3 linked regions of the Drosophila melanogaster genome follow. The gene in region 3 interacts genetically with the main gene of each other region. Each region holds a gene or a part of one and is shown on either strand. Other genes may lie near its edges. The genes, in order: Lim3, lab and vvl.

Region 1 (10,188 bases), on a different chromosome or scaffold from region 3:
GAACAAACCGAAAACGGATACGCTTAGAAGGACTTGGAGTGGTGGGGGGTTTTAGGGGGTGGTTCGGGCTGTAGGCACGTTAATAGGAAAGCCACACAAGAACTGCTAACGAAGGACACGCGGCCGGCGGTTGAGCGACAAGTGCGTTGGGAAGAATTCCAGTCACACACAGGACACAAGGACAACGAGGTCCTGGCAGCGGGGTGGATCGTCTGTTTGCCGAGCACTAAGTGCGCCGGGCAAGTGGAAATGATAAACATATTTACACAATTTTTGACGGGCGAACGGGTGAAACAAAACACCCGTGGGTACAGTCGTACCCTTCACCCCTTCCCCCTCTCCCTCCACCACACCCTCCCCGCAGTTTTCCCATTTCTTCGCTTTTCTGGTGCGCGTACGCACTTGAAACAAGCGAAAGGAAAACCAAACCCAAACTCGATAAATATGTTTATGTGCAAATAACAAAATATTTGTCGATTGCCCGAAACGAGTGATGGGCGGGGTGATGGGCGGACTTTGGCTTCGGGGTAGGGCAGGCTCTAAAGGCAGAGGCAGCTCCAGGGTTTTCAGGGGTTCCAGGGGTTCCATGGGTTCGAAAGAAGCACCGCAAGCGCATAATTCAATTTTTCTGCTCGTTTTGCACATCGCCCGGCACACGTCACTCGAGTCCTTTGGGACACCGACGAACTGCCATGCTACACCAGCTAAGCCCAGCCCAGCTACACTGCGAGAAAAGTACACAACTACACTGCAACAAAAGAGCAGTAAATGAAACATGAAGGTTAGAAACAAGATTCAACATTACTAAAACTTCCAGTTTCATGAAGTGTGTAGTCAACCAGAACTCCAATCCTTTCCCTTGAAATGTGCCCAGATTTAATCATGATTAAAGTTCAGGTTGGTTAAGGTGTTTAAGATATCATACTGATATTATAATAATATATTATACTAAGAATACCTTAGATTTTCCGTTCCGCTTCAAATTGGACCTCTACCAAAAACGGGATAAGTCATTCCCGACTTACTGGATTTTTCCAAAGTGCACGCACTTTGTCAGGGATGCAGTGGATATTAGTGACACGTGGCGAAGGCTCGACCAAGGCGATCCGCAGGTCCCAGCACATGCGGTTTCCCGGATCCGTCCCCCCCCCCCCTCCTTTCCACCCAGGAATCTATATTTATTTGTTTGTAATTACGCGTGTTCTAAAAACGAAATCCCGCCGCACTTGAAGCCGGGAAAATGGCTAAACGGCTGAGCCTGCTCTTTTCAATGCCCGAAAACTTCGGCCGGGAACACACGTGCAGTGGACGACCGCCTCCACTGGTGACCGGGTATTCCCAGCGCATTAGCAACAATGCCGGAGACATTTGGAGTTTGTCAACAGTTTCGCATTGGATTTGGTTACGGCTTTGTTCTCATCAGCGGCGCGTGTCCCTGTCCGATGTCATCTTCTCCACTCTCGACGCGACTCAACGCGACTCGACGCGACTCGACTCGACTCCAATCCGCAGTCAGTTGTCAACTTTCTGGGCTGGCTTTTAGTCCGGGGATTGCCGATTGATTTGGCGTGGGATTTTCGAGTGCGGCACATGTATGAAACGAAATCATAAATGTGACAGGCCTGGATCATAAGCAACTCGCACAAAGAAATCCCTTTGACCATCCTTGAGCCATCTCAAGCAGCAATAAATCATCTCCTTCGGAGCCATTCACCATGCATATATCCTCAAAGAAAACTTTCTGCCGGAACTTTGCCAGTTATATATATTGCAGGAAGTCCCCTCGGACCATACATTTATTCCGTGGCGGAGTGCATAAAAAAGCAGGCGGTCCAACCGAGCAGCCGCAACACTGAGCCCTCCTAAAAGGGCATTCGAAATGAGCTGCTCGGAGATGTGGAGATGTGGAGATGTGAAGATGGTGGTCTGCCACCGGGAAAGCTTTCGTATTTAATTGAAAAACACTTAAGCCCCAGTTCGGAGGAGCCAAAGCCAAAGCCAGGCCAACCGCAAGGCTCTTATGTGACCCTAAAAGACCGACCTCATAACCCCAACTCATCTTCATCACAAGACCTTTCTGGTCGCTCATAAAAACAAAGGGCGAGCGCAAACAAAAACTTTGCATAATTAAGGCGCGGCCAACACATGGGCAAAGTGTATTCAAAGGGTTAACTTACAGCAGAAGTGAAATATACGGTTTTAACATGAAAACTGTATTCTCAATATTTACTAAAGCAAAATTAAGAAACCACGATATTTTTTAATGTAAATACGACTATTCTCTCTTTCATTTCAAAAATTGATAAATTGATAAATAAAATTCAAAAATGTAATCTAAGTTTGAAAACCAAACATTTTAATAATATACTATTCTTGGCAAACATTTTTGTTCACTGTGCAGGAAAATCTCCTAGGCAGCCTTCAGATGGACAGGACTGAATCAAAGATGGCATGACTTGGCCACTTACCCTCGAGCGCCCGGTTCCTGGAAATTAAGGCGAGCACCAGTTCGGGATTTGGGTCATCCTGGTCGACAGCCAGGTGATTGTGGTGCGGATGTTGCTGCTGCTGTTGCTGCCCACCGACCAGGTGAGATGCCTGCGGCGTGGGTGGCAATTGTTGCTGCTGCTGCTGCTGCTGATGGATATGCGGCTGATGTTGCTGGTGATTATCCATGGCTGACAGGTGCTGTTGCTGCTGCAACGGATGTTGCAGCTGCTGATGCGGATGTGGCTGCTGCTGAGGCGGATGCTGGAGCTGGTGCTGATGCTGGTGGTGATGATGTAGCGGTGGCGGTGGTTTCAGGGTTTGCATCATTGCTGAGGGGCCGGCGATTTGAACACGCGTCGTATGAGTTATATGTATATTTCAGTTAGCTTATTCCAATTGGCACACGTTTGTATCTTTAGCCCTGTTTGGTGTTTAAAAAGCAATCTTTGTGTTAGTTTACCGCACTCGTTTCCCGTTTAGCGTCTAAACGAGACTCCGCTAGGCGGGATCGCTGTCTGCTCGATAACTGGCATTGGTTTGTGCCCAACAGTGGCCCGGTTGACTGTTTTTCCCTTATCGCGGCGGTCTCTTTGGGTTTCGGTTTCTACGGTAGAATCTAGATTCCAGTCTTGCCACTCGGTTGGGCTCGTGCTCAGTGCTCGGCTGCTCTATCAGTTGAAGTAGCCAGGGACTTGAACAATTTGAATTTGTTTGCGATACCGGGGCACACTAGACCATCTATTGTTCGGGTGCTTTCGACCAAGTGCAAGGCGGGTAAACTTTATGTAAGCCGAGGATAGGGCCAAACTGATCGGTAGATATTCAAAAGACCGTTTGGCGCATATCTATTCATCGTCTATCACGAGGAGAATTCTCGTGCGAAGACAACAAATCGGATGTGCACTATACTATCTATCAAAAAACGGTCAATGTCCAAGGTTTTTTTATCAAAAACGAACTGCTAATGGTTCCCAAATCAAACAAAATAGTTAAAAAAAATTTTTGTGAAATATTATAACGTAGAATATTTGATAGCAAATATCCATTTAATAGTTTATCAGTATTTGAAAACTAGTTAAGATTGAAGATAATTTATTTTATAGAAATTCAAACAAACAAAATAGGTAAACAATTTATTTTTTGTGAAATATTAAAACGTAGAATAATTAATCGGAAATTTCCATTTAATAGTTCTTCAGTATTTGGAAACTAGTTAAGATTGAAGATCATATATAAATGAAACAAAATACTATGAAATTTATTTTATAGAAATTTAATTTTAGGAGCAAAGCTCCTAAGATTAAATTGAAATTAAAATGGCTAACATCGGGAGTTGGAAATCGCACATTAATCTTATTTTGATTGCCTTAAATCTTAAAACAAACAAAATCCAATCGTGTTAGTATTAAAATTCATATACTAAACATTTTAAAATCCTAAACGTATCTTGGTTTTGTAACTCTTCTCAACACAATTTGCTCAATAGACTTTTTTGTTTTAAGGATCTACTGTTAAAATGTAACATTCCATTTTTTAATCAAGCTGGCTTTCTTTTCAATAGTTCCTCAGAATTTTAGCCTTTTTATTGAGCCTTTCGTTATGCGACGGAATCGTAAAACCAGTGGAAATGATTTGCATTTACCCTATTAAAATTTTTTGCGTCACTTTAACACTCAACTCTAGTATTTGTTAACTTTGTTAATTATTGGCTGGTTTTTAATTTTCTTATTTCAACATTTCGTATTATTTCGTTTGAATTTTCTGCGGCACTTGAACGCGATTTTATGCGAACGCCATTTTGGCGACGGCATCGGCAACTTTAACGGTAACGGTAACGGATTCGGCAGCGAAAACGACGACGGCAAATGCGAAGCCAGTGCGACAAAATGGCGGCGGCATGGCTAACGGTGTTTGCCCAACGGTAAGGTAACGGTCTGGAAACGGTAACGGTGTCGGTAACGGTACGGCGGCAACCCTGGACGCGGCAACACTGGCAGGCGGCTGGTATTGTTGCTGGTGGGAATCCCCTCTATTTGCCGCGCTGCATCTTTATTTATTTTCTTGGCCGTCCAAACTGTCGTCTCTCCTTTTTACTTTGCGCACTTTTTCACGCTTTTTCTCGACTGTGCGAGCTTTTAACGCTGTTGTTTTTTTTTTTTTTTTTTTTTGTTTTTTGCCTTTCGTCTTGTATTCGTGTGCCGTTTGCCGTTTGCCTTTTGGCCGCCCACATGGGTACGCCGTGCGTATACGTACTATCTGTGGGTGTGTGCGGGTGTGCGGGCGTGTGTTTACCAATTGATCCTAATGTGACACAAATGATATGGTAAAATGCATACAGCCAGCCCTGAATGGCAGGACAACAATGGCAACAAGGCGGCGAGGCGACAACGCCAGCAGCGACAACATTTTTGTGCTTCTTTTTGGAGGCCGTGCGCATGTGTGTGTCGCTCTCTGGCGATGCCCATTTGCCCGAAAAGTCCAAATTCCAAGAGCATTACAATATTTGTAAAACGCAAAAACTTTAGCCTCGTCGAAAAAAGAAGGTGTGGAAACTTTTTTTTGTTTCCCTCTGCCTCAAGAAGCTTGAGCTGCAAAAGTGCAGGGGCAAAAAAAAAATGAAAAAAGGAAAACAGCACAGTGGGTAGAACAAAAAGCCAACCAACGTCGAGCGCGACACCTTCGTTGGCCCCAAAACAACAGTAAACAGCACTTAAAAGTCAGCAGCGACGTCGACTGAGGCGAAACAAATATGAGAAACTTAACTCAAAGGTCCAAGTCAATACGCGGCGCGCGGTCACCAAAAATGCGGGGTCTCCACTGGAAAACAGGCACCGCCCCTTTATATTGAAAATCGCTGGAAATCGGCCGACGATAGAGTCCAAAAGCAACAAGAACTTCCAGGCATGCGCAGGCAGTGGCCATTATCTTATCGCCCCAGCGTCGCCATTAAAATGGGGCTGGGGTGGCCATACGCTTCTATTCCTAGAGTTCGATGTCGTTCCAGCGCCGGCGCACTCGAAAACCCAAAGCTGGCAGGGTGATGGGAGAGGGGGGAAGTTGCTACTCCATGCCCGAGTCACCCGTTGCCCATGAGTTCGCTGTATCTGCATAGGATTCTCGCTGTCTGTGTAGTTTCGGAACCCCTATATCTATAGTGGATACTTGCCACCCGTCCCGAAAACCCCTTAAATGCGTTGCGTCTGCAAAAACGATTTTGTTTTCGCATTTATTTATGAGCCGCTTAGAGCGCGCCAAATACTTTGCCAAACACTTTGAACCCCAACGCCATGCTCGAGAACCCCACGCCCCCGCTCCCAACGGATGACCTCCGCCCACCCACCGAAGTGGACACTAGCAGGGAAGGTCGTTTGTGGGTTGGGTTCCGCGCTGCGGCGGAGCAAGGAACGCGAACAGCTGGAGTGCGTGGGTCGCTCGAAAAGTATGCCCGGTCTGAGAAAGTCTGCATAAAATGCCAGATACAAAGTACGTATAAATATTAGAAAAAAACATGATTCCATCTTATGCTGTAAAATGTATTACTTCATACTTATACTAAGACTTTTGTATCATCATCATTTACAGCTTGCCTGTAATATATATTGGATACTATTACACAGAAGCTAAACTATAAACTGTATAAACTATATTACATATTTCCTTTATTAAACATTCAGCATTTTCTTATTGGGCTTTCGTTACGCGTGCGGAACAACACGAAAACACGGCATACCCTTGAACCCAACTAGTACCGATTATAAAAAAATATAGGGTAAGAGCATAAAAATGCAGCGTGACCCTGAAACTGAAACTGATCGTGAATGGAAATGGAAATGGAAATGGCTGATGAAACCGATGCACTCAATCCAACGCGATCCCAATCTATGGCATCCCAGGCGGAGCTTCACTTCCGCGGTTACCAAATCGACTTTGACTTTCAAATTTTCCAACGCTTTTGTCGCAGACGTCTGTCTAATGGAGCCGTTAATGGTTAGACACATGAAGTATTTTGCCAAATGGGCTCGACTTGGGACGGTTAATTGCTGATGATGTGATGATATGGAACCGGATCGGCAGTGGGTTTTGGGGGGGATGGCGGAGATTTAGTAAGCAGCAGTGCTAGTGTTTGGATAACACATTTTAATAGACAATTAACAAGCAGTTTGTTTAAATTTTCTTCACCGACATTTTTAACTTTTGTCCGGCGATCTTGTTTTCGCTATTGTGTCTTTTGGTAGTTACATAAACATAAATCTCGGCAATGGGCCAGTCAGAAAGACAAAAAACTTGCTGCCACTGCACATTTTCACACATAGCCGGATTTTTGTTAACGTTGTTGGAGTTCCCCCCCAAACTTTTTATTGGAGGGTCTCGAGATTCGGAGCTCATTGAGACTTGGTTAAAGCGCAGCCAGCTCATTTGTAGATTCGAATGTCAGCGGTGAACAAGTGCGGAACCAGCGGAGCGGCTAAATACCCAAATTCCCCCCCAAAGTAAATCGCGCCTTTTTTTTTGGATTAACCAGGATCATGGACTTTGATGAGTTCCGTGAATTTGGCCATGCCTCCATCGAGTTCCTTATCAACTATCTGAGCGGCATACGTGAGAGGTGTGTGTCTGGACTTTTATCCTTGGAGCGATGCCTCTAAATTCTGTGTTTCTTCCAACAGGGATGTCCTGCCCAGCACGGCTCCATATGCGGTGATCAATCAGCTGCCCAAGGAGATTCCCGAGCAGCCCGATCATTGGCGCGAGGTCCTCAAGGATCTGGAGAACATCATCCTGCCGGGTCTGACCCACTGGCAATCGCCCTACTTCAATGCCTTCTATCCGTCATCCTCGTCGGCGGGCTCCATCATCGGTGAGCTGCTGATCGCGGGCATCGGAGTCCTTGGATTCAGTTGGGTAAGCTATATACATATGTAAATGGTGAAAAAATCCAGCAGATTCTCCTTTTTTTAAATGAATATTCATATTAAATACGTGCGTGAATGTGAATGAATTAATGTGGAAGAACAATCATAAGCAACTTTCTTCATTGTGTTTTCTTAGAAAAATGATATAAAAAAAAAGGTCAGTTAAAACTTAAATTTCATATAATTACTTAAAAAAACTAATTGTATCTGAAAAGTGTTGCCATGATAATTAAATTCGGATAAATATAGCGAATATACACGTTTGATTAGCTTATGATCGTTATATATTAAAAACTATTAATACTGAACTTTTTTACTTTTTATTGTGATAAAGAGACAAATTTGAAAGAGTTTCATTTTAAGAGCCTTAAATTATTCACACGTGAATTTACAATTATTGTTCATTAGAGTCAACAACAATAACAACCAACAATAATCAATTGGTTTTAAAACTATAATTTCTGTCATCAATTTGCCTAAGAGAGAGGGGCTAAGAGAGCGCCAACCGACCAACAAAAAAGTGGGAACAGTTTGTGACCCAAAGTGATTTCCCACCAGCTATTGTTCGAGTGTCGTTGGTAACAAAATCTTTTGGCCAAATCAACGCAACACTTGAGAAATCCTTATCGATTCAAAGAACTATGCGATAAATATGCTCAGGAGATAGGCACTCAACGATTAAGAAAATTGCCAAGTAATTGTTTTTCTATAAATATATGGCACGAAATATACGAACCCAACTATAATCCCGGTGACCGATTCGTTCCCTAATCTCGCAGATTGGACACGCTTCACAAATCACTGTGCAGAGCAATCGGATATAGGTATTTTCGAAATTAATAGCTAAATTGAAAAAAAAAGTATTTGAATGGCACTCTCGTATAAAAGAATAAACCTATTACTATATACCCCTTTGTGTAAGTAGTATAAAATAGTACACACTCCTTTCTATAAACTTTCAACAGTATTTTAATGTTTTGATTATGTTAATTGAACAAACTTCGCATTTGAATTTTAAAGTATCAACGAATCAAAGCTAAATTAGTTAGATCAAAAGAATAAAACAAGTCAGTTGCGCCGGTTTTTAATGATTTCTCAAAACTAGCCAGATTGGCTGAACCGACAGCTCTGGAGGCTGTCCAGAGAAGTCGGAGTATAAAAGGCAGCCGTCACCGGCGATCGGTTTCAGAGTGAACCTCAGGCAACTTGGAGGAGCATCAACGGATCGGGAACTGAAATCGAGTTGGGCAAACAAATCAAAAACGAAAACGGGGAAATAAAACCAAAACAAACAGAACGTAAAAAGTGCAAATAGAAAACGATATCGCAACATTGTCAGCGGTATGGATGCCAAGGAGTTTCGGGAATTCGGCAAGGCCGCCATTGACTACATAGCCGACTATCTGGAGAATATTCGGGATGACGACGTACTGCCCAATGTGGAGCCAGGCTATCTGTTGGACCTGCTGCCCACAGAGATGCCGGAAGAGCCCGAAGCGTGGAAGGATGTCCTCGGCGACATTAGTCGCGTCATCAAGCCGGGACTGACCCACTGGCAGTCGCCTCACATGCATGCCTACTACCCCACCAGCACCTCGTATCCCTCCATTGTGGGCGAGATGCTGGCCAGCGGGTTCGGCGTCATCGGATTCAGCTGGGTATGTTGGTTTATGGTGAAATCTGCTGCTGCTGCTGCTGCTGCTTCTGGCCCATTGTTTTGGCCGGCTGAATGGGCGCTCATTGTGCGCGGTGGGTGAAAGTGAATCCAAGAACTCGACAAACAGGTTGCCACTGCACCGGACCGAAGAGAGTTGTTCACACAAATCAATCGGCAATTGTCACCAAATAAAAGTTATTGGGCAGCAGACTCACCTTAAAGGCATACAAATAAATTTAAATGTATATAGAATTGATTAGCCAAACCCAAACTAGACGTTTCGCAAACAATATTTGTCATTGCGAACAAAGAAGTTACCACCGAACAAAAACTTAGTGAAATAAACCCTAGTTTAAATTATAATATATTTGTAAAAATTACTATATGTATGTATTCCGGATTTAATAGTGTATTACAAACGGATGGAGTTATCTTCAATGCATAATTTCTTACATAATAATTCGTATAATCCCCCACAGATCTGCAGTCCCGCCTGCACAGAACTGGAGGTGGTGGTCATGGACTGGCTGGCCAAGTTCCTGAAGCTGCCCGCACACTTCCAGCACGCCAGCGATGGACCAGGAGGCGGGGTGATCCAGGGATCAGCTAGCGAGGCTGTGTTGGTGGCTGTCCTAGCTGCCAGGGAACAAGCTGTGGCCAACTACAGGGAATCGCATCCGGAGCTGAGCGAAAGTGAGGTGCGTGGCCGCTTGGTGGCCTACTCCTCGGACCAGAGTAACAGCTGCATTGAGAAGGCTGGAGTCCTGGCTGCCATGCCGATTCGATTGCTGCCGGCTGGAGAGGATTTCGTACTTAGAGGCGATACACTGAGAGGAGCCATCGAGGAGGACGTGGCAGCGGGCAGGATTCCGGTGATCTGCGTTGCCACTCTGGGCACCACGGGCACTTGTGCCTATGACGACATTGAATCCCTGTCCGCTGTCTGCGAGGAATTCAAGGTGTGGCTCCATGTTGATGCCGCGTATGCCGGTGGAGCCTTTGCTCTGGAGGAATGTTCGGATTTGCGAAAGGGATTGGATCGCGTGGACTCGCTAAACTTCAACCTGCACAAGTTCATGCTGGTCAACTTCGATTGCTCGGCCATGTGGCTAAGGGATGCCAACAAGG
Region 2 (10,210 bases), on a different chromosome or scaffold from region 3:
CACATCAAATAAATGTTGAATACACCAAGCGAATGCCCCCTCTTTGGCCACTCCCCTGACCCCTGACCGCTGACCGCTGAACCTCTGCTGGCCCAGAAAACTAACACCTTTGCAGCCTTTTGGCCAAAAGTTCTCGACTGTTTCTTTTTTTCCAACAACATTTATGTTAATTCGAGTTTCCTTCACTTTTGTCAGCTCTTTTCATATTTCATATTTTCTGGGCAGTAGCTTCGCGTGTGGAAATTCCCACCCGCCTCTCGGGGGAGTGGGCGAAATTCACGAACAAAGTGGTAGATCGTTTAAAAAACAATATAACACGAACAGGAATAGAAACAGAAACAGAAAAAGCAGCGAACTTCCAGTTGCCATGCATTAATTAAACTGTTCAACCACAACAAGGCTAACCCGCCTCGATGGGAACTTTTCAATTACGATAGCGCCCATCAAAAGGCTAATAAAAACAAACAAAATTATCACCATACCAGGTCGTAAAAACTTTAGTTTGGTGCTAATAAGGAATAGAAATTCGGAAGATAGCAGATAATCAGATAAGGTGGGAGTGTATACACGTTGAGAAATTAACTAAAACAGATACTAAATATTTTACAACTTAATTTAAAACAAATTATATACAAATTATGTTTGAGTTAATTTTCATTCGCACACTGTGTGTCAGCTTATACCACTTGAATGGGACAAACGTTTAGTTCGAAAGACTTCTAAATTCCTTAACACTGACGTTTGAATGATGGATAAGTTTTTCGTTTCCTTGGTCGGTTTATTTTTTCAACTTTGGCTAATTTTAGTTTTATCTAGGTGTCATCATAATCTTGCCAAAAGTATTTTCGAGATTTCGCGCATTGATTGATATTGGTAGCTGAAAAAGTGGAAAGTTCTACGTGTGTATTTGTGTATCTTAAACCAATTTCTAGTCAGTGACAAATCCCTGTAAAAATGTCCATTAATCTTCATGGCAATGGGAGCAAGCCCCTTCTTCCTTCCTGCTCCAACCTCGACCGATCTCGGTCTGGTTACTGAAAAATGCTGATTAACACATTAGAGAACTCTTTGAATCGTGGCCTGGTCAGCGGACATCCAGTCGGTATGTGCGTGAATGCCAATATGTCGAACGCTACCATTTATAACCACGATTGCTGATTATGCTGTTTCCCTGCCTGAAAATGGATGACATGACAGATGGACCCAAGCATGTGCTCACAGCGAGCAGCGTCTCCCAGCATCCAGTATCCAGAAACCAAGAAGCAGCCCCAGCATCCCAGCATCCCAGGGATTCCAGGGGAGCCACGAGGCAGCAGATCATTGCTCAGTGACAGTTCGGTTGCAGTGAGGCTCAAACGAGAGACTCTTATTTAAATAATCATTTTTTCTGACAGCCAACTTGACTTCCAGTTCCAGTTCGGCATGCCGTGGAGCAGCCCCTGCCCCCCAAATTGTGCCCCCGCCCCATGCAGCCAGTTTCATTCTGGATTCGAGCTGCATCTCCCAGCCGCTTTAATTGTTTGTTTGACTTGCGGTCGCCCCTAGAACACATTGAGAAAAACCATATTCGAAATCGAATCTAAAGAACTTCTACTTGGGTCTTAAAATTAAAATTATAAAATTTCCCAGCTAGAATAATCTTATAAAATAGCTTTTTGTTGATACAAAATAAACCTAAGGATGGCTACCATGATAGTTAATCAATATGTGGGCGAGTAATACCCTATTTTTGAAACAACAATTGATATTTTCAACCAATTAGTTTTCTTTCTGTGCAATCTACACCTCTCTGCCCCACCCTGCTCCCCATCTAAGCGCCTGGTTCCACTTGCACGCGTCATCTGAGGGGCTTTTGGGCTCGTATTTGGGCCTCGAGCTGTAAGGTTCGGTTTTGGGTGCGGCGCGTGGGGATTTTGGATCGGCGATCTGGGATCTGGAATCTGGGATCTCGGATCGGTTGCGTTCGACTCGGGCCTCTGTGGCGTCGTTTAATTGAAAACGATGCATGTAAATGACACTTTTCAGCATTAATAAGCAAATATTTGTATGATTATTGGTGTAGCCGGGGGATTAACGTTTGAACTGTAAGTGGTCCGAGGCTCGATGCTCCGATATCAGCGATCAGCGTCAGTTGTGCAACTCGATTCATGAACAGGTTAAGTGCATTACCAGAAGAGGCCCACAGGCCAAATGAATTCGGTCAACAGGTTTGGAAGGATGGCTGGAGTATGGCAATGTGGGTAACAAATGCGGAGCTAATCCCTTCACAAATAAATACAATTTGTTTTATTGGAAAAACCTTTCAGCATGGTCACATGCTTTAAATTATATAATTTTCTTTGGTATAGTTTTGTATTAATAGAAATATTTAACCCAAGAAATTAAACCATTCAAAACTCGACCTCAACTTTGTTCTACAACCTTTTCCAACAATTACGTATATTACAAATTTCAGGGTGAGCCATAAACACCTGTGCCCCCCCATTCAGTTAGTTGCTATTTATTTATTTATTCGACTGACCTCAAACTCTTTGAAAAGCAATTAAAGGCTTACGCTCGAATTTTATGCAATTCACGAAGTATCAATAAAAATACTCGTTTTTTCAGTGGCAGCTGCTTCTTTTGGATAATCGACGACGTTTTATTTATCGCATACAATATGGACTTTTCTGATCTTTTTTATCAAAGCGAATACATTTTCTTAGCTGGCTAATTCCGAGATACAAAACTCCACTCGCCAATGTGACAAGTAACAACCTGACTGACTCTGCACAGGCATTGACAAAATTATCTGAAATATGCAAGAAATGTGCCAAAGGAGGAGAGTCCAGGAGAACGGCGACAGTTATGAGAGGCGGAAAGGGGCGTGGAGGTCGGGGAGAATCGAGATTCTGTAGCCGGGGGCTGTAGAGCCGAGGGCAGAGGTGGGCGAAATCTTTGGCATTTGAAGAGACAGGAATATTTTTAGGTGACATGCCCTCGGTTGGACGTCTTTCTTGACATTTTGTCTGACGCATCCACTTGTTTTATGTTTGCTAATATTTCTGCAGTGCTAATTGTTCATACTTATGATCAATCTATTCTTGATGGCCAAGTTCTCTAACTTATAAATGTACTCATAATATTGTTTAATCTGCTCGTTCGACGTCATTTCTTTCACAGTTTTATTCATCTTCTTCTGGTTTTACTGGTTGACTGATTCTTGTATCTTGGCCTGTCAATCAGTTTTGAAAGTCATCGTTTTACGCTTTTTGGTATTTACTTGAGGTTCTTTCTTATGCTTTTCTTAAAAAAATCACCATACGTATGTATAGAAGTGTGTGTATTTCTTTCCATAATAACTGTCCGATTAACTTAATACATTCCGTAAGCTATATGTGATCTATTGAGCGAACTATACGAGTTTAGAGAACTATAAGAGTTAAAATATGGCAATTAGCTAAGAATGCGGTTTCTTAATTGCCAGAGACTTTGCCTAATGAGACGCGTTTAGTTGCCCTTAGAATGCAGACATTGCGAATGTGCGAACAACTTGAATAAAAATTGCACAAATTAAATGTATTTGTATCCATTCACAAGGAAAGAAGGCAATTGTAGCGCTTGATAAAACGACTTGGGTTAATCTATTGGTTCTAAATTTGCAACAAGACCTTTTCACTATACGCCTCTACAACTCGCGTCATTCGAAATGTCCACGAATATAAATTTGCAATAGTTTCAATTAGCATTTAATTAGGTATTTAATATCAAACGACTACTTGATCAGTGTTAAAAATAAATAAAGAGAATTCAATTTTTTAAAGTAACCGAACCCTATATATTCATCTGATTTATTTAGAGAATATATCAGTAGGAGCATTTTTTTGTGTCAGTATTCTATTATATTTACCTTATTTATTATATAATTCTAAAATACTTAAAGAAGGGAATAAAAATTCGATTATTTAAGGAAAGAAAAACGGAATAAAATCATTCGGGACGTAGTAATTTGAGCCTGTTTCAACCATTGAAACCCTATTCCGAGTTTACTTTCTAGCTCAACTTACCTTGAGGCTTTGGAACATTCCTCTTGAGTTGCATCCACTTGTAGGTGGGGATGCTGCTGGAATGATTTGGCGACTTTGATTGCGTGCTGGCAGGATGTGCTCCATTCGAGGCGGAGGTGGAGGAGGAAGTGGAGCTACCCGGGGAGATCACTCCCCCGCGCTGCTGGCGATTCATTCCACCGTTGGGCGACACGGAGTTCTGGTGGTGCTGCTGGTGTGCCGCTGGGGATTGGTTCTGCGGATGTTGCGGTTGCTGGTGCGGCTGCTGCTGTTGCTGCTGGACTTGTGGCTGTTGCTGATGCGGATTGTTGGCCAAGTTGCCCAGGTGTCCGTGGGGCAGGCCGTGATGCATGTGGGCGTGCATTCCTAGCGAGTCCATGGCATCTAGGGCATAGCTGCCTGCCAGATGTTGCTGGTGGTGCCACATCTGCGACTGCGTGGCCTGCTGCATCATTGGATCCTGATCCTCCAGCACCATTCCGGGTGCATAGCTGGCGTGCAGGACGGCGGCGTATTTCTCCTCGATCTGGCCGGCATATCCGTGAACCGGAGCCTGAGCCTGGGCCGTGGGATACATGCAGTCCAGGTTGGTGTACATCATCCCGTTCTCGGAGCTGATGATTGCTGCCTGTTGCTGCTGTTGTTGTGTGTTGCTGGTGGCACTTGCATTGGCGGCGGTAATAGGTGAGCTATTGCTGGGTGGAGCAACTGTGGCCACTGCGGCGGTAGCGTAGTACGAGTGCACCGAGTCACTTTCGTAGTAGGAGTCCGCCGGAGAGTGGCTACTAGGATGGAGCGGCGTGCCCGGATTTCCCGTGGTCGTACTCGTGGTGATGCCATACTCCGCCGCACTGGGACTAAAGAGATGCGAATGCGGATAGAGCTGTTGCTGCTGCGCCTGCTGCTGTTGCTGGTGCTGCTGCACCACCTGGTGGCTGCTGGTGGGCGGTGGTGTCAGCTGCGCCTGCTGCTGCGGATAGTAGTTGCCTGGGGAGCTGCTCTCGTAGCCATTGTAGGTGAGGTGCTGCTGGGGCTGCTGCAAATGCTGATGCTGTTGCTGCTGCTGCAGCTGCAGGTGGGGCTGGTGTTGCTGCGGAGCAAAGTAGCTGCTGGCGTTGGCCGCCGACGCGGTGGTGGTGCTGTAGCCGTCGTAGGCATTGGCATGTGGATGGTGGTGGTGCGGGTGGTTGCCGTACATGCTGCTTACGTCCATCATATTGTCCAGCCGGAACCACACTTTCTCGCCACTCCGATATAACCGGTGTATCACTAACTACCCTTCACTTGCCACACAGTTCTTGAAATAGTTCTTTAGCTGTTTGCTTTCTAAGAATATTACGCGACGGTCGAGGGCTATCGACGTGGGTTTTATCTGTATCGAACCGAAAAACACGACTCCCGTTGGCGATGACGACGACGACGTGCTGCCTGCGCGCTTACCAAGTCGTGACTGATTACTGGCCCGAACCCGGTTTCTTTCAGACCGCACAACCGCTGGTCTTGGCCACGCCCCTCTGCAGACTGCCTGTGGTCCCGCTTCCTCTCGTGTGTGCTACATACGTGTTGCGACTGCCGTCTCGCTCGCTCCCTGGGATTCTTCGGATGACTGCCCTTATCAGTGGTTCGGGGGTTAGTCATACGTATATACAAATACCCGTATTTCAACTACCGGTTTTTGGCAGTTGCCGTTTCCATTTAGATTTTCTCGTTCCCTGTTTGCTCGTTTTTTTTTTGCTAGTCGCCATGGCAGGAGCGGATTGACGGCTACTCAAGATGGGAGTTCTATGAAGGAACTTGAAATTATGCAATGAGCTGGTGTGGAACTGGCTGGGGATGATCAGATCTCTAAAATGATCCTTATTAATGGGAAACACTTATATAGATCGTCGGTCCACCTAAGAACATTAAGCATTTTAAAGAAACTTGTTCTAGATCTTACTTAAAATGTTTTGAAACATCCAATTGACAATTCACTTCCCGTATGCCAATTAGAAAAACTTACTATTTCTTATCATCATAATAGTTTTACTCGAAGTCTTCTTCGCCATATATGGAAGTCGGGAAATATAAAGACCATTTATTTCTAATTTAAACTAATTCAAAACTATGCTCTAATCCAAAAAATTGTTGTTGTTATTATTGTTTTTAATTCCTTATATAGGTATTATTTAAAGTACTCTCTGTTAAAAGTATCTGAATGGTTTCTCAAGTGTAATTAAATTCTCTTTATAAAATGTGTATTTATTAATACTAAATAGTAGACAACTCTTCGCCCCGAAAATCTTTTCGCACATGTTTTGGGCCCAGTTCGTGTCCAAGTTAATCCACCCCTGCCGCCTGCTGATAGTATTGAAAGTTACGCCCCTGACCATGCTCATGTCGACGTCTTGTTTTAACTGGAAACCCAATGTTGTGTGTTTGTTTTGCGGTTTTGGCACGTTTTAGCACCTCGAAATTCCCAAATGAATTGACGGACAGGTAAAGAAGAGGAGCTTGCTATGGGATTGGAAATGCGAACCGGGCACTCGGAATGGGTTTTCGGCTTGGGAGCGGACCGGGGTTGCGACCAGGAGGAGCTGCAAACGGATGCTGACTGTGGCAGCTGTCAATCGTCATTTGCACATATGACAGCTCATCTATGGCAGCACTGTTGAATTTAAATCGTCGTCGAACGACTTCCCCGACCCCGACAGACCCCGAATCCTGACATTATCTCCGGACCTTGACTCTGACTCAGTGGGATGCAATTCGTAGGCGCCCCCTAAGAGTTATCCGGTGTATGGGTCTGTCACTTGGCAGGGATAGAGATACAACCGTCAGATATCTTCATGCACCTTTCACGCACAATGCATCATCTTTGGCTGTCTGGAAAACTTCGAGGTTCGCTCCTTCCACTCTCGGATTGGGAATTTTTCGTTTTTTGTTCAACTTGATTGACATTTTCACAAGTTTTTGTCTCTACACTCGCACGGGGAATTTCGGAGGGGGAGGTCGGCTGGAGTGGCCATTCGTTTCGTCCTTTCGGGCGGTCCTGCCCAACGCTCCAAGGTGATTTGTTATATTTTCGGACAGCAGCAATTAATAGTAACAGGATGTGTGCGAGTATCTTTCAGTAATCACATACATATGTATGTACATATACAACTAACATACCACGGCCCAATCCCGATTCCAAGCCTGAAACTATCTCACATGGCTAAAGCGAAATACATGCAAGGCTTAGGTATCCTTGTTTTAGCATTCAGCTAGGATTGGGATCATTTTTGACAGTTCCTGGGGTGTTATGCAATACTTCCTCCCTCAGCCAATCTTTCTTGTCGTAATGAAGTTGTTTAACAATCGTAATTGAGAACTCAAAGATGTTATTGCCTTTAACATTAAAGTTTAAGTATTTATATTTATGTACATACGGCAGAAGCCGTTAATTTACTTTCTCTATGTATTTACTCTTACACGAACATATTGCTGCAATAAACAAGTTATATATATTCTGCTTTTTCTTTTATCATAAAATTACGTTAAGACTGAAGTAGTATAAAGACATTTTTCGATACTTTTGTGTAAATCCATTGTAATGAGAGCATTATGTTTATGGTAAATTAATGACTTTTTAAAATGTAAAACTCTTTGTAATAGTACAAATTATTAATTAGTTGTTTTCATACACGTTACTCGTAGAGTATAAAGGTTTTATACTAGATACGTTGTAAATGATTGAACAGGCAGAAGGAGGCGTTTCCGAGAGACGAAGACGCAGCTCAAATTTGTTTTTTAAATGTTTTAAAATCTCCCACGCCAACTTTTTTGATATTTTAAATTTGCTTGCTAGTCTTGTAATATGTATCGATATCTTACGATAGAGGTTTCTATTGTTTATTTGAATTCCCATTTGAATTGACAATTCGAAGCAACTATATTTTCTAGTATTTTTTGTAGGCGCGGGAGATCAACACTCCTATGTCTATAACATAAACATACAATATTTAAAAATATTCCAGGATAAACATACATACATAATTAAAAGCTCAAAAATAAAATTAAAACATGTACTCATACATATTGAGTACATTGAGTATTGAGTATTGTAATATATGTAAATATATATATATATATACGCATTACCGTTCGTAAATCACATTGATTTGATTACCCTTAAAATTGTATTATTTCTGATCATGATCTGATAGAGCTTTGATCAATTATGATCCACTCAAATCCCAATATAAATGTATGTATATCTGTAAAGTTCATCATATCACAATCGATTAACCATAAAAGCTATTTCCACACCACTCGTTAGTGCATATAAATGTCCAGTCAAGTGCCCGTCGCACACCTTATAGGTTTCGGGGGATTTGTAAGTCGCGCCATCAACGTCTGTTTAGCGCCATGAAAGCGTCGGAAGTAAGATATATGGGCTAGATGACGTTCCCAACAGCCCCGAGAGGCGACAAGCCTCTACAGCCGATCGGAATAGTGGAAAACTGACCACAAGCTGACGCCAAGTTGATGGGGGCGCCGCAGCTACAGCTCCAAAACTTCTGGAACTTGGAGTGCCGCCGTTCGATACGATTCTTGCTACACAGCTCTGGTGTCTCCCCACGGCAGCCCGTATCTGTCCGGTTTTCGGTGTCCGTTGGCCGCTGTCCACTGTCCGTTGTCCGCCGGTTTTCGAGACGTGACGTGACGAGTAACTGGCGTAATTGGCACTGCAACCAAATTGATGGATTGCCCGGCGCCGACTGTCACCGCTCCAAGAACAAAACTTGGCGGTACTTTTCGGGTTTCCTTTGTAATTTTTGGTAAATCGATATTTGTGCCATTTTTTTTTTGTTTCGTTTTCTTTCCTGGGCTTTCGGTTTTGTGCAGCTTTTGACTCGGGCGTTTTGTTCGCTCCTGTAATGATTAATTAACCAAATTTAGTTTATCAAGCTCTGCTGAGACGGCGACGGATGCCTGTTGCATATGGGCCAAGAGTTGTCCTAAGTGTGTACGCCGCCTCTTTAATTGAATTTGAATTCGGGCCAGGCGAACTCGTTAGTTTATGAATAGGATTTTAAGCTTCCTGCACTGATTGAGTTGCTGAATTTATCACATGTTCATTTTTCGGCTAATTCCAAAACCCCTTTGCGTGGATCTTGATCAGTATGTTCTTGATTGATACCTGTAATTGTCGACGCCAAATTTTTTAGAGTTCTTATAGAAATTCCTCCATATAAGTCGGTGGCTTCCAGTCGGCAAGATGAGTCGCCGCGAAGCATATTTAAAGTGCTTCCTTTCTTTTTATAATGCAAAATTGCCCGGTATATTTATTACTCTTTAAATACTTACTCAGTCCATTTAAACAACTCTTAAGTATATCATATTGTTTTTTTTTTCAAAATTTAAAAATTTAATCAAATATGGTTTAATATACATATACTACATTTAAATTTAATTTAATTTAATTAATTTTAATATAAAAGCAATTGTTTACACCTGAATTACATTTTTATGAATTAAAGTACAAAATATGGGATGTTTATAAAAGATCGCTTTAGCGGCTGTAAAATAAAGCGCTTTGTTTTTGGTTAAATTTATAATTCTTAAATGTAAGCCAACATATGATATTCGTCAGAGTTCAACAGAATACAAAAGTTTAAAGCAGAAAGGCTTAAATGTGAGAGGCTAGTTTACGTAAAACGTTTACAAAAGAAAAATATGTATATCTTTTATGAGGAAGGAGTCGCTTCTCACTGCAACAACATCTCTTCCACGCTGTATTAAACCCTAAAATTCACTTTTTTACATAAGGCAATTGGATGATATTTTAAATATGTTTTATGTGTGTGTTTTAGGAAATGGTTATATGATATATGCGACTCGTCTAGAATGTCCTTAAAATTGGCGTTTGTTTCATGGACTACAAATATAAAGTACTATTGAGAAAAAAACCAAAGAAAGCGTTATTAAAACTTTGCCCGTTTCCGAAGGCTGATTGTTTGTTGTAAATGACAAGCTTATTATGTTTACTTAATTTAATCTTTTGTGTAATTTGAGCACGATAAACATAACAGAAGAACTTGTGATTGACCTTGACTGTTTAAAATGCAAATTTATGCTAAAACCGGCTTGTAAGTGATAATAAAGCCAACCGGCATTAAGAAAATCCTATGGCACGGCCA
Region 3 (12,436 bases):
ACAGTCACAGCTTAATTCGCTGGTGGGAGTATCTCCCATTTTACATATACATACATACATCTCATTTTTTTGTGGGTAGTTAAAAAGAATTTCCAACGCTCTTGACTTACGTTTTCGAGGGCTCCGTTAAGAGGCAATAAATTTTGTAATTAGCGCAAGGTTTTACAATACCAAACGCACTGATTTGGCTCGGAACGAAACAAGAATAGCCAAGTACACCTATATAATTTTATATACGCAGTACGTAGTACTTTCCAGCCGGATAGTGCTGTTCATTCGTCTTTTCTTTTGTTTTCCTTTGCACAAATGTCGCACACGAACGCACACGGCTAGAACTTTGAAAATACGAAAAAAACGAAAAGAAAAAAACAGAGGAGCGCGGAAAAAGAAAATGAAAATTCCCAAAGGAAGCATAGATAATGAGCACAGAGTCCCCGACACTCCGAATGTCAGTGGAAAAGTCGCCCAGCCGGAGCCAAAAGCCAAAGTCGCACAGAAGGAAAGTGCGGCCCAATCACAGGGGCGGATTTCACGAGTTCGGACCTTTAGAGAGCTGAGAAGAATATATTTCGAAAATTTAGAAATTAAATATTGTTTCGAAAGCTTACCAAGCTATTATGTATTATTAAGTTATTAAGTAAACTATGTTTGTAGATATACTATAATATAGTACATAAATATAATATTATTTAAGCGTATAATAATAATAAATTGGCAAGCGTAAAAATAATTTAATATATAAATTTTAATTTGATGCTTGAATGTTGTAATTTCTATAGTTCCCAAATTCTAAGCCCGGACCAAAACCCATAGTTAATCCGCTCCTGTGGAATGGTCAGTCGGCCAGTTCGTCAGTTGGCTTTCGGGTGACGTTGACTAGAGTCAGCCATTTTGCCGGAGTGGCGGCAGTAATGCCACAATGGCAATATGCCCGAGACCATTGTGGCCCGATTCTCCGTTACCAACTTCTGCTGCCGGTTCACCAGCTTCAGTGTCTCTCAGCTGCCGCCGCTGTAGCTTTTGTTTTAGCCATTGTTAGTGGAACGCTGGTGCTTTTGCGTCTGCTGCTGCCGCTGCCGCTTCTGCTGCCTTTGCAACATTTGAATGATTCTCGTTGGTCGTGTCAGTCCCACGGGTAATTATTGACACGGTTGTATGCACGCAGCCCAAAAAGCACACACAGTGAAATGTACAAAAGCAGGCGGCGTGTTGCTTTGCCACGCGAAATAATAAAAAACCAACCAACTCCACTCGAAATAATAATGAAAATGTCGGTAGTTTTGCCTCGAGGAGGGGTTTCTCTCTATAGATATGGTCGGGGTATATATATATATATACTTAAATATGTACATATGGGGGAGGGTGTGTAGGGGGTGTTGCCGCCGCTGTCGCACTTTGCACGCACGGCAACATTAAAACCAATGAAAACTACAATTTGCCCTCGTAGATTAGTGGCTTTTCTTTATCATCGAATAATGTGGAATGTGCTTTTTAACTATGGAGTGACTATAAAATGGTAGTATAATTTTCATTAGGCAGAGGAGAAAATAAATATATAGAGCTGATATATTCGCCTATTCAAATAGGCCATTAGGTAGATTAATCGGCAATATAAAAAGTCTAAAACTTGTGTGAGATAAGGAGTAAATAAGTAAAGATATCAAATTTATATAATATGTAATAAGTAGCAATATGAAAATACCTCATATTACCTCACATTTAAATACAGCAAATCCATTAGCCATGATTAATCAGTCAGGAATTTCCCCCAATTTCTTTTGGACAATCCTTCGAAAATCCCATAAATTCTTAAAGCGCATTTCAACTAGCACATGACCATTAAAAAAAAAACCTTTCCTTTCCGTTTTCCATATAAAAGTTTATATAGCCCGAGGGGCAGGTTTCATCTACACGAGTGGGTGTGTGCGTGTGTGTGTGTGTGTTCAACTACCCCAAAATGGCAGGTGGCAATAGATAAACGTATAAATAGGCTTGTGGGCAGCCATGTTGTTTCCCCATTAAATTTCATTTCATTTCGCCGTCTATTATTTCTTTTTTTTTGTTAGAAAATAATTAAGAGAGCATAGAGAATAATTATATGGGTGGATAATATAATACTGTCGATATTATATTGTTCAAGTGCATGAAGCGCATCGCGTGGGTGTTTTTGCTTAGTTTGGTGCGGAAAATATAATTTTCATTTTTATTTTTCATTTTCCGTACGCTTTATTGAAACATTATAAACCACGCGCGCCAAGAGTTCAATTTCAACAAAAATAACAACCGATATTTTCGTTTTGTTTAAACGGCATTATTGCCGTCGCATAAATATAAATCATTGCACTTGCGCTTCTGTACAATATATATTATTGTTATTATTTGTTATTTGTTACTGTTATTGTTTTTGGGGCAGTTGTTGTTTATATATTTAAGCCTAAAACTGGCTTTCAATTATGCGAATTTATTTCGCACACAAAAGCGAGTGAGAGGGCTCGGGTTATACGAGTATGTATGTATATGTATTTTTCGGGCTGATGCAATTTTTATGCAGAATTACTAACCAATAGCATTTCGGCACAAAATTGTTAATCAGCATCCAATGAAATATGCATTTAAATTATAAATTAAATGTTAAAAGCGTGCGGTACATTAGATGACAATAAGGCGGCCAGGGGGCAATGTGCAGGTGGAATGAGACGACTTTAATGGTATTTCATGAATTTGTTTTTCATTTTTGGAAACAACTTAAATTGTTAAAAATTTAAGGACTTAAACATAATACTAATACCTTGACGAATTGGGAAGTTTTGAATGATTTCTGCAAACGAAAAATACACCCAACTTATTTCGTAAATTAAATTGACCGCGTAAATCTGGCAAATTGTCACTTTAATCGCCTTTCGATTGACGTCGGTGCTCTTTTTGTTTTGTTCAACGATTGCGCATTGACCAGGGACAAACAGAGATCCATCAGGTGCTTCCAGCAGCACTTAAGGCCTTATAAAAGGGTAATTTCACGAAATGCCACGCTTTTTAATGGCAACTTTCATTAACGAGCGGTATTACTCGATCTGCGAGTTGTGTTGTTAGTTAATTGCCAATTGCTCCCTCTCTGACGTAGGCAATCACATTATAATGTGCCCACTTAATTATTTAATGGCTTTTCGAACACTTTAAGCAAACAAACGAAATTAATAATACACGCAATTATCGCGATTTCATCGATATAAACGCCCTATCGTAACCAGCATCTGCAAAAGGTGGCCGTAAAACTCCTGTAAAACTGTCAAAACCAACGACTCATAAACTTCACAACCAAAAAGCGGACGAAAGTAAATGCAAATAAATGATGCCGCTAATTAAATAATAATAAAAGGACGGTGCGTTTTTTTTTCGAATAATATTCTTTTTTATTTGTTTTTTTTTAAGAGTTTTTTTTTGCTTTTCAGTTTTTTCTTCTTGGTTTTCCTCGGTGTGTGGGTGTGTGTATGTGTAGGTGGAAATGCACCGCTTTGTTGACTTTGCTGTTGCATATATATGTACGTCTATATAATTTATTATACAGTTGAGGGCATGGCTTAATCTTAAATATTCGGCTTCGCTTCTCTCGCTCTTACAGCATAGTTTTCAACATACCAAAACAAAGTACACTAAACAAAAATTTCGTTAGATTCTATAATATATAAAGTTACACCAAAGGATAAGGTTTGATTTTCTTTTTAGGTTTTTGTATAAGAAAATAGAAAAAGTAGACATAAATGTAAACGTATATCAAAAAACACAAAGATGATTTTTTTTACACAATTTTCGTTTATTTTTGTTTTTGAAATAATTTCAAGTTTGTCGTTTAGCATTTAGTTTGCCTTTTGTTTTAATGTACATCAATTAATATATTACAATTTAGCATTTGTGGTATTTGATTATTATTGGTTTGTTTAAATTTTAAGATTTAGCTATATTCATTTTTGTTTTCCATTCGATTTCCTTTTGCTTATATAGAAAGTACAGTACTAAGTAACTAAACTTCACGTGCCTATTCATTAAAAATTACCGCCTAAAAATTAAAATTTATATTTTGTAAATGTTGTTTATTTTTTTTTCGCTTGTGGTTGTATTTTTAATGATTTTTCTCTTAGGGGGGCTTATTAAAAAATCTACAATTGCATTTAAAGCTAAAAAATATGACTTAACTGTAAGTTTTTATTTACAGATGTTTTGGGGTTTTCTCATATTTTACTTAATCCTTCCTTCATCTCGTATTTTTGTTTACTTCGCCGCGCGTTAAATTCTACGTTTTTCTTTTTCTGTTTTACGTTCTGTTCGTTTATAGATGTTTTAGAGTACAATCTACTGGCTATATATATATAATATATATAAACACGGCTTGCTTAAGAACCTAGACCCTATCTAGAACCCACCGAGTTCTCCCACCGCTGCCTTCTTTCTCATTGAGCCTTTTTTTTACTTGATCTAAACGGCGACAAAGTGTTGAACGAAAAAATATTTTGTGGACTTTTGGGCATGGAAACATTTACCTTGCTTATGGAGAGCAGCTGAGGAATTTGTTTTCTTTGCTTGTCTTTTTTGGTTTCTTTAACACTTGGGTCGCACTTTTAACTAGTTTCTCTGTTTTTTTTATTTTCATTTAGTTTAATTTTTTAGCATTTAGTTTTTAGGTTAAAACAACATCACTTGGTTTCACGTTTGATTTGAATTGCGTGTTTCTTTCGCTTTTATACAAAGGAAATGTTTCGTTTACATTTTAATTTAGTTAATTTGATTTAATTTAAGCAAGTTTTTCAAACTTTAAAACAAACTAAAATGGTGGATGGCAGCCTCCCCATCTTCTCCACCTCCTCCACTCCCTGCTCCTATTTAAGCTGAAGTTTAACACAGATTAATGCACTGGTAAAAAAGATGATTTCTCAACCTCATCGACGGACCTCATCTTATTTCTATTCTTTAAAGATTTGCATACAGTCGAGCTTGTCTAACGTGGAACTCAATATGGTTCATATTGTTTAAGTATATATGTTTAAAATGATTTTTTTCAGTCGCCAATTTAGTAACAGATTTTAAGAACACTGTGAAATGCTATTTTCAAATTTTAAAAAACCTCAAAACACCGCAGAAATAAAATATTGAAAAATTTCAAAAATATTCTTATGACTTACGAAATATTCTGAAATGCTCACAGCTAGTTAAATTTTAGATAGCTACTTTTGCGATCATTCGAATCGAACCAACTGAGTTCGCGTTAGAGAAGTTCGACTGTACGATTCTAGGGCTGCTCCCGCTTGAAATGCGGCCACCCATTCGACGCCGAATCCTAGGAGGACTCATAGCCGAACCAGGCGGCCGACGAATGCTATTCGCCACCCGCTCCGCCCGCCCCGCCAAAGCTGTTAAAGTGCCGTACCGCTCCCGGTGCCGCCGCCGCTCCAAACTGCAGACTCAACTCGAAGAGTCGGCGGGCGTGGAGCTGCTGCTGCTGCTGCTGGTGGTGGTGGTGCTGCTGGTGATGGTGGTGCTGATAGTGGTGGTGCTGGTGCAGCGGATTCAGATTGAGATGGCCACCAAGCACCGAGGATGCGGATCCGGCCGGCGAGGCGGAACTGGGCGGCTGGAGTGGCAGGCCACTGTTGCTGCCGGCACCCGGTGACAATTGGGAGTTGCTGCTGGTGCCGCCGACGGTCTGCTGCTGCGAGTGCTGCAACTGATCGCTCGTGTGGAACAGGTGCGGATGGTGGGCGGGATTCAGGTGCGGATGCTGGTGCGGATGCGGATGCGGGTGGTGCGGATGCTGGTAGCGCATGGGATCCATGTACATGGCGGCTGCTGCAGCGGCTGCTATGCTGGATGCCTGCTGTTGTTGCTGTTGCTGCTGGTGGTGTTTAACTTGCTCCTCGTTGTTATTGTTATTATTGTTATTGTTGGTGCTGCTATTGTTGTTGTTATTATTATTATTATTGTTGTTAGCCTGATTGCCAGCGGAGGAGCTGCCCAGCGGACTCTGCGGCGACATCACCTGGCTGGTCATCGTAGCCGATGATCCCGCACTGGAGGATGGTGTATTCGGTGTGTGCTGCTGCTGCTGATGTTGCTGCTGTTGCTGGTGTTGCTGCTGCTGCTGTTGCTGCTGCTGCTGTTGCTGCTGGCTTAGACTATTGAGGGATGCAGGAGTGGACGCAGCTGCAGCTGAGTTCGACTCCTGGATTTCTGATTGCTAGTGGGCCGCCAACTGATGCGCCGCTACCGCCGAGGATTGCATATTCTGTGGGCTCAGCATGGGCGGACTGTGCGAGTGGGAGTGTGTGCCCATCGGACTGCCGTGCATATCGTGATGCGGATGATAGCCACCATGATGCATATGGCCCGGCGGCATGCCGTCCATCATGTCGCCGCCGAGCGTATTTGGCGGCGTCATGCGCTTCTCCTTCTGCCGCCGATTGCAGAACCACACGCGTACCACCTCCTTCTCCAGCTGCAAGGAGTCGGCCAACGAGGTTATCTCCTGGGCGGATGGCTTCGGCTGCTTGTGGAAGTGCTGCTCCAGTGCCCCCTTCACGCTCACCTCGATGCTGGTGCGTTTCTTGCGCTTACGCCCCTGAGCGGCGATCTTGTCAATGGACGTGGGTGAACCCGTTGTGGAGTCCGCCTCCTCCAGCCACTTCTGCAGCAGCGGCTTCAGCTTGCACATGTTCTTGAAGCTCAGCTGCAGTGCCTCGAATCTGCAGATGGTCGTCTGGGAGAACACATTGCCATAGAGAGTGCCCAGTGCCAGGCCCACATCGGCCTGGGTAAAGCCCAGCTTGATTCGGCGCTGCTTGAACTGCTTGGCAAAGGCCTCCAGATCATCGGACGTGGGAGTGTCCTCCTCGCCGCCGCTTATGGCATCCCGATCGCCGCCGCCCATGTGATGGTGTATGTGCAGCTGTGGCGATTCCCCGCGCAGCGTATGATGCAGTGGCGCCACACTCTGATGATGGGCCGCTGCAACCGCATGGGCCGGATGATGGAGCATTCCGTTCATGGCATGATGGTACTGCAACGGTGACCCGCCCGTTGGCGCATAGTGTCCCGCATGGGGGGCATGCCAGGCGGCATGGGGCGAGGCCATGCCCTGTTGGATGCGCGTCTGCTGCGAGAGATGCGACATCTCCTGCTTGACGGTATCAGCGGCCGAGGCAACGGCAGCGGCGGCGGGCAGATGGTGCGTATGATGGGTTTGCATCCACGGATCCGGATGGAGGGCACTCCATGAGCCCAACCCGGAACCGGAACCCAATCCAAGTCCGCCACCATTGCCCTGGCCATTGGGCGATGGCGACGAGGGCAACTGATGGTGGGCAGCTGCCGCGGCAGCGGCATGATGATGATGATGGTGCTGCATGTACTTCATTTCACCGGCATCAGCCGCCGAGCGCGGCGACGAGGTGTGATAGCCACCGCCTCCGAGGGCCATGTCCAGATCACCGCTCGGCGGCGTCATGTACGAGGTCGCGGCCATCCCCACCGCTCTGGGGCTGTTCAGGCCCTCCACGCTGGCGGGGTAGGGCTCCAAGTTGGGGCTCAGTTTAACGACTTTGTACACCGATCGATCGAAAGGAAGACCAGGGTCCCTATGCTCATTCCACTCGAACCGTGAGGCAACCGTCTTGACGTCTTTTACGGGCAACGTGGCAGGCGCAAAAATATTCTATTTCGCTTATTTTGTTTTTTTTTGGGTTCGACGTTTGCTTTTTTGGGGGCGTGGCCCTCGAACGCGTTCAACAAGTTTATTTCAGCTTTGGGTTAAGTAAAAAATCCGACGGCAATTTGCTTGGGGTTTCACGTTTATTTAGCTTGACTAGCGTTGAGCTAACTGCGTTTTATTTGGTTATTTATTTAGATTTTTTTATTTTCGAATTTCATTTAGCACTTCTAACACTTGGCACTTTTTGTGGCGATTTTTCGCAACGATTTAAATCATCGATAGAACTCAGTGGTCAGAACGCAGAACTCTGATATTCAGATACAGATTGAGATTTCTCGAATGTGTGTTTCTACTGGGTTGCTTGACCGATTCGATGCCGATTGAGATTTGAGATTGTGTGTTGTGAGATTTGAGCAGTCAAGACAGCCGAGAGCCCAGGGAAAATTCACGTGCAGACTCGTAGAGCTATCGAAGTGAACTAACGTCATGTCTCGCACCGCAGCTCTACGTTGAGCGCTCTCGACGCTCGGCGGTACGTCACACCGATACGTTTACGCACACCAACGAGCGCAGTACGCACACACACCCCGGCGAGCGAAACCAGTTTGTCCGCTGGCCTTCCAGCGTTCCATGTGTGCGAGCAGCACCGCCATTGGTGCGGCAAGCGAGATAGACGCTCTACCGAGCAACTGGAAGGGAGACTTGCGCTCTATTGGGCTCGCTGTATTCCAGCGTTACGCCCCCAAAACCAACAAAAACAAAAAAAATATATGAGATGAAAAAATAATACCAGAGCCGGCTCTACGAAGTTCCCTCAGTGCATTCCCATGCAGAGTGACATTTTTAATTGCCCAGTGCCCAGTGCGAGCGAGAGAGGGCGAGAGATGATATGAACGGCGACGGCGCATCTCTCGATTTCTTCGAGTCCAGCTATCGGGAACACAGGGATTACACGTAGTGCCATCTCCCAGTTGGAGCTTTTGCGTCCAGGACTTCTCTCTCCCGTTCGGGGAGCTTTGTTTCAGTTCCTTGCAGCTCCTTGGCCAGACAACTTTTCCCTTGGCTTTGTGAGTGTGTGTGTTTGTTTGGGAGGGGGGACATCTGGAGTGGTTGCCATTGCGATTTGAAGAACATATTACTAACGTGGCGTAGAAAAGGAATTAAACAAATAAACAGTTTAAATATTTAACTATTTATCGTTCATCCAAAAAAGTGTGCATAGTAAAAATATTTAAGAGCAAATAATATTTGATTATCAATATGAAAAATAAATAAATCTTGAACTTGAATTTGGACAATTCAAATTTCGCTGAATTCTGTTGAAAATATTTTTTATATAGACCGTGTCCCATTAAATATTTAACCAATGTGTTATATAAGAAAATCTTATTTGTATTTTTTCAGTTTATAATATGTGTGAGTGAAGCTTAATTAAATTAAAGAAAGTAAATTAGTGTTTAGTATGAAATGATATTTAAAATTTTCGTTTAAAAAAATAACCATTTTACCGATGAATATTTTATAATTTTCTTTTTCATATGCATATAAGTTTCGTTTGGCTGCCTACATAAAATATACCTTTCTTTTCCACCTTGATATCTTTCTTTTGCTCATTGTGTTTGTGACTGTGTTTTGACTGCTTTACAGTTAAATTATGTTTCACTGACAAAAGATATTGATTCACTTCATCCGTCAGTTTCATTGATTCTATGATCAGTTTTGCGAAATTAATGCGAAACTAGCGATACATTTGCATAGCTAAAGGAATTGCCATCGTTAAAGTTATCATTGGAATACTGACTTTTGTTTCTGGCTGTGCAGTTTTAAAGTTTTTTGATTTAGCGGAGCGTTATGGGACAATGCGAAGAATCAAATGAAAAATATCCGTAAAAGTTTATGTTTCCTAAAACAATGAATGAATGAAACTCTGCACACAATCAATGGAAATCTATTTCGCCTTCAAAGCCAATTGCCGTCAAATGTATATATGCAGACATAAAATAGCTTATTTAACCAAATTTACCTTTCTAAAAAAAAAATTACTTATTATTTTCCCACTATTTCCCTTAAATATGTCAACATATATTCAGAATTTTCCCACTTAAAAAATATATTTAATTAATGCATAAAATGTTCAAAGCTACCCTCTCATATATTTTCTCATTTAATAAATCCTGGCACACATAACTAGCCCAAGAATCCCATAAACACCCACCACAAAATACTTAGCATAGTTTTAGACCCCTTTGAGGCAGGTCAAGAGCTCAATCAAAAAATTATGCAAACTAAGGTCATCCAGCCGAGCAGACGCAAGCCAGACAAGTTCGAGCGTATTTGCATGAAATTTGTTTACGTTTTTTTTTCCATGACCATATCCTTTGGCCACGCACTTGGGCATAATTAATAAGCCAAGCGTTTCCAACCCAAAAACCCCAGTGACAAAATAAAGTCACAGTCATTGTTGGTCCTTAGACAAAAATTTACATGATAATTAGGTGGCGGCGCTAAATAACAACAGCGAGTGAGTAAAAAACAAAAAACAAAAAAAAAACGCTGGTATTTAAATTTCAAATGTCGAAGCGAAGGAAGAAATCCTGTTTCTGCTGGCCATCCTCCCTCGGTGATTCTGTCACTTTTTTCTGCTTTACGTTTTTTTGTCCATATGCTAAATGCGCACGCGCCGCGTTTTTGGTTTTTGTGGCCAGCAAAGGACTTGTTGCATAATTATGCGCCGCATGCGAGTAAATAAAAAACGATGCGATGGTAAAAAATGAGCAGGAAAATATACATATATATATACAACTAAGCGCTGCGTTTATGAATGGAAGATATCTCGTGGCGGCCGCGTCCACGGCGCCGTTGATTTGGATGATAATGAGCTCGATTAGCATTTCGGCTGCATTTTTATATGGCCATCTACCATCTACCCGTCTCCTTCTCCGGTCGGCTGTCTCTATCTCACACCTCGTTTTCGGGCCGCACTTGTTTATAATTATTAGCATAATTTTCTTTCTTATTTTGCATTAATTTGCCATCCCGACCGGCAAACGAGTGCGAGTGCGAGCGAGAGCCGAAAACCTCAACGTCTGCTTTGGTAATTAAAGTGCCATAATTTCCGAATCAAAACATATAAACTGGTCTGCTTTTGATCGCTTTGTTTATCGCGCAATACAATTAATGCACACTCGCTCACACACTCGATAAGTATGCGAATCTCTATATTTGTGGGGGGAAATAAAACACGTCGACTAATTTGTGGCAAATGCAAAGTAATTTTATCGGTTTAAGCTGTATTTAATGCATTTGAACAGGATTTTCGGCATGAAGAGCATTATTTTATTGCATATGCCACTCGGCACAGTGGGTGTATATCTTTAAGTGTTAGTCGTAACTCTAATTTAAAAAAGGCAATTAAAAGCAAATTAATAAAAGCTATAAACAAACAAAGAAGTTTTAGCTTGGGCACAAGTTAATGTGTTCTAAAATTAATATGTAACCTTAACTAAAGACAGAAAATCCATAAGCCATCTAATCATTTGAAACATGATTCCCTTCAACCATTAACAGATAATACGATCTCCTTTTTTGAACGTTAACCCTTAGAAGCCCAGTTGATTTGATAGGTAACCCAAGGAGAATCGATTAAAACTCTCGCATTCAATTAATCCCTACCTTGTCCTACCTACATCATCTTCAAAGTAAATTTCATGCAAATAATCCTAGCATCGTCCTCCCAACCCCTTGCCATCCTTTCCATCCTTCACCCCAACCCCATTTCCGGATCTATCTATTTTGCTCATTTGCAAACAAACGTTTCATTAGAGAGACACATCGAAGGCATCATCATCAGCTGCAATCCATTTGCGTAAAAAGAAGAAGCCTCGGACAACTCGTTACCATATGCCCAACTCTCGATTATTTTTTGCGCGCCAAAAAAAAAAAATAGCGGAGAGACAAGCACTTAAGAAAACAACAGGATGGTGAGGAAGTCCTGAAGACGAGGCCGCCGAAGAAGACAACCCTTGAGCAACCCTTTATTACGCTTTTCGGCAAGGTCAACTATCTATCCGTGTAGGCAAATTGCATATAGGCAAATCCGAATCTCCCGTGGATGCAACCCAACCATTTATCATTTTCTTTCGTTTTCTTTTTTTTTGTTTCGTGTGGCCCTTCTGCAATTTCAATTTTTGCAATTTTGCATGCAGCGGCCGTTAAAAAAGTCTCTGGTATGCAATCAGGGCGCTTATCCTTTGGGTCTTCGGCCCGAATCCTTTCACTTTCGCTACCTACGAACCAACACAAGCTGGCAGAGCAATTCAGAAGTAGAGTTTGCCAAAATTCCAGCACACACACGCACATCCTTGCTGTCATATGCAAATTAGCACAGCCAAAATAGAAAATTTCTGCGTCCCGCCAAAAAAACACAGACCAGCAGCAACAAAAAACATAAAGTAAAAATGCGAACGGAGCACAAAATGGCAATTGTTATCGAAAAGGGTAGAAGAACGACCCATCGCCCCGTTTTCGGTTTAAATGCATTTTTGGTGCGCCTCATTGGCTTTTGGCATTGAAGCCCGACGCCCAACTGTCAATGAGACCGCGCAAAGGGCAAATATGCAAATTAGTTAGCATTTTTTCCCTTTTATTTATTAACTAATTTATCTCTGCGGCGCTGTGACACGTCCCATAGGCAGAGCGAACCCGTCAGGGTCGTGAATTATTGGCGAACGACATAGAGGA

Evidence for each region.
Region 1: of vvl (region 3) and Lim3, changing one enhances a phenotype caused by changing the other (phenotypic enhancement), as found in Drosophila melanogaster (one study listed by BioGRID).
Region 2: of vvl (region 3) and lab, changing one suppresses a phenotype caused by changing the other (phenotypic suppression), as found in Drosophila melanogaster (one study listed by BioGRID).

Annotation. Positions count from the first base shown.
Region 1 is NT_033779.5:19,103,255-19,113,442, forward strand, and holds the start of Lim3 (Lim3), read right to left. Parts: upstream 5,174-10,188; 5' UTR 4,133-5,173; intron 3,022-4,132; exon of another isoform or gene 2,912-3,021; 5' UTR 2,818-2,911; coding exon 2,469-2,817; intron 1-2,468. Other genes in the region: amd (alpha methyl dopa-resistant), read left to right, coding at 8,747-9,061, 9,540-10,188.
Region 2 is NT_033777.3:6,673,085-6,683,294, forward strand, and holds the start of lab (labial), read right to left. Parts: upstream 5,507-10,210; 5' UTR 5,263-5,506; coding exon 4,047-5,262; intron 1-4,046. UniProt on the Drosophila melanogaster protein: Sequence-specific transcription factor which is part of a developmental regulatory system that provides cells with specific positional identities on the anterior-posterior axis. Required for proper head development.
Region 3 is NT_037436.4:6,785,900-6,798,335, reverse strand, and holds vvl (ventral veins lacking), read right to left. Parts: upstream 8,179-12,436; 5' UTR 7,511-8,178; coding exon 6,227-7,510; coding exon of another isoform or gene 5,282-6,226; 3' UTR 3,395-5,281; downstream 1-3,394. UniProt on the Drosophila melanogaster protein: Binds to a DNA sequence element required for the expression of the dopa decarboxylase gene (Ddc) in specific dopaminergic neurons. Could also play an early role in specific ectodermal cells, and a subsequent role in the embryonic nervous system.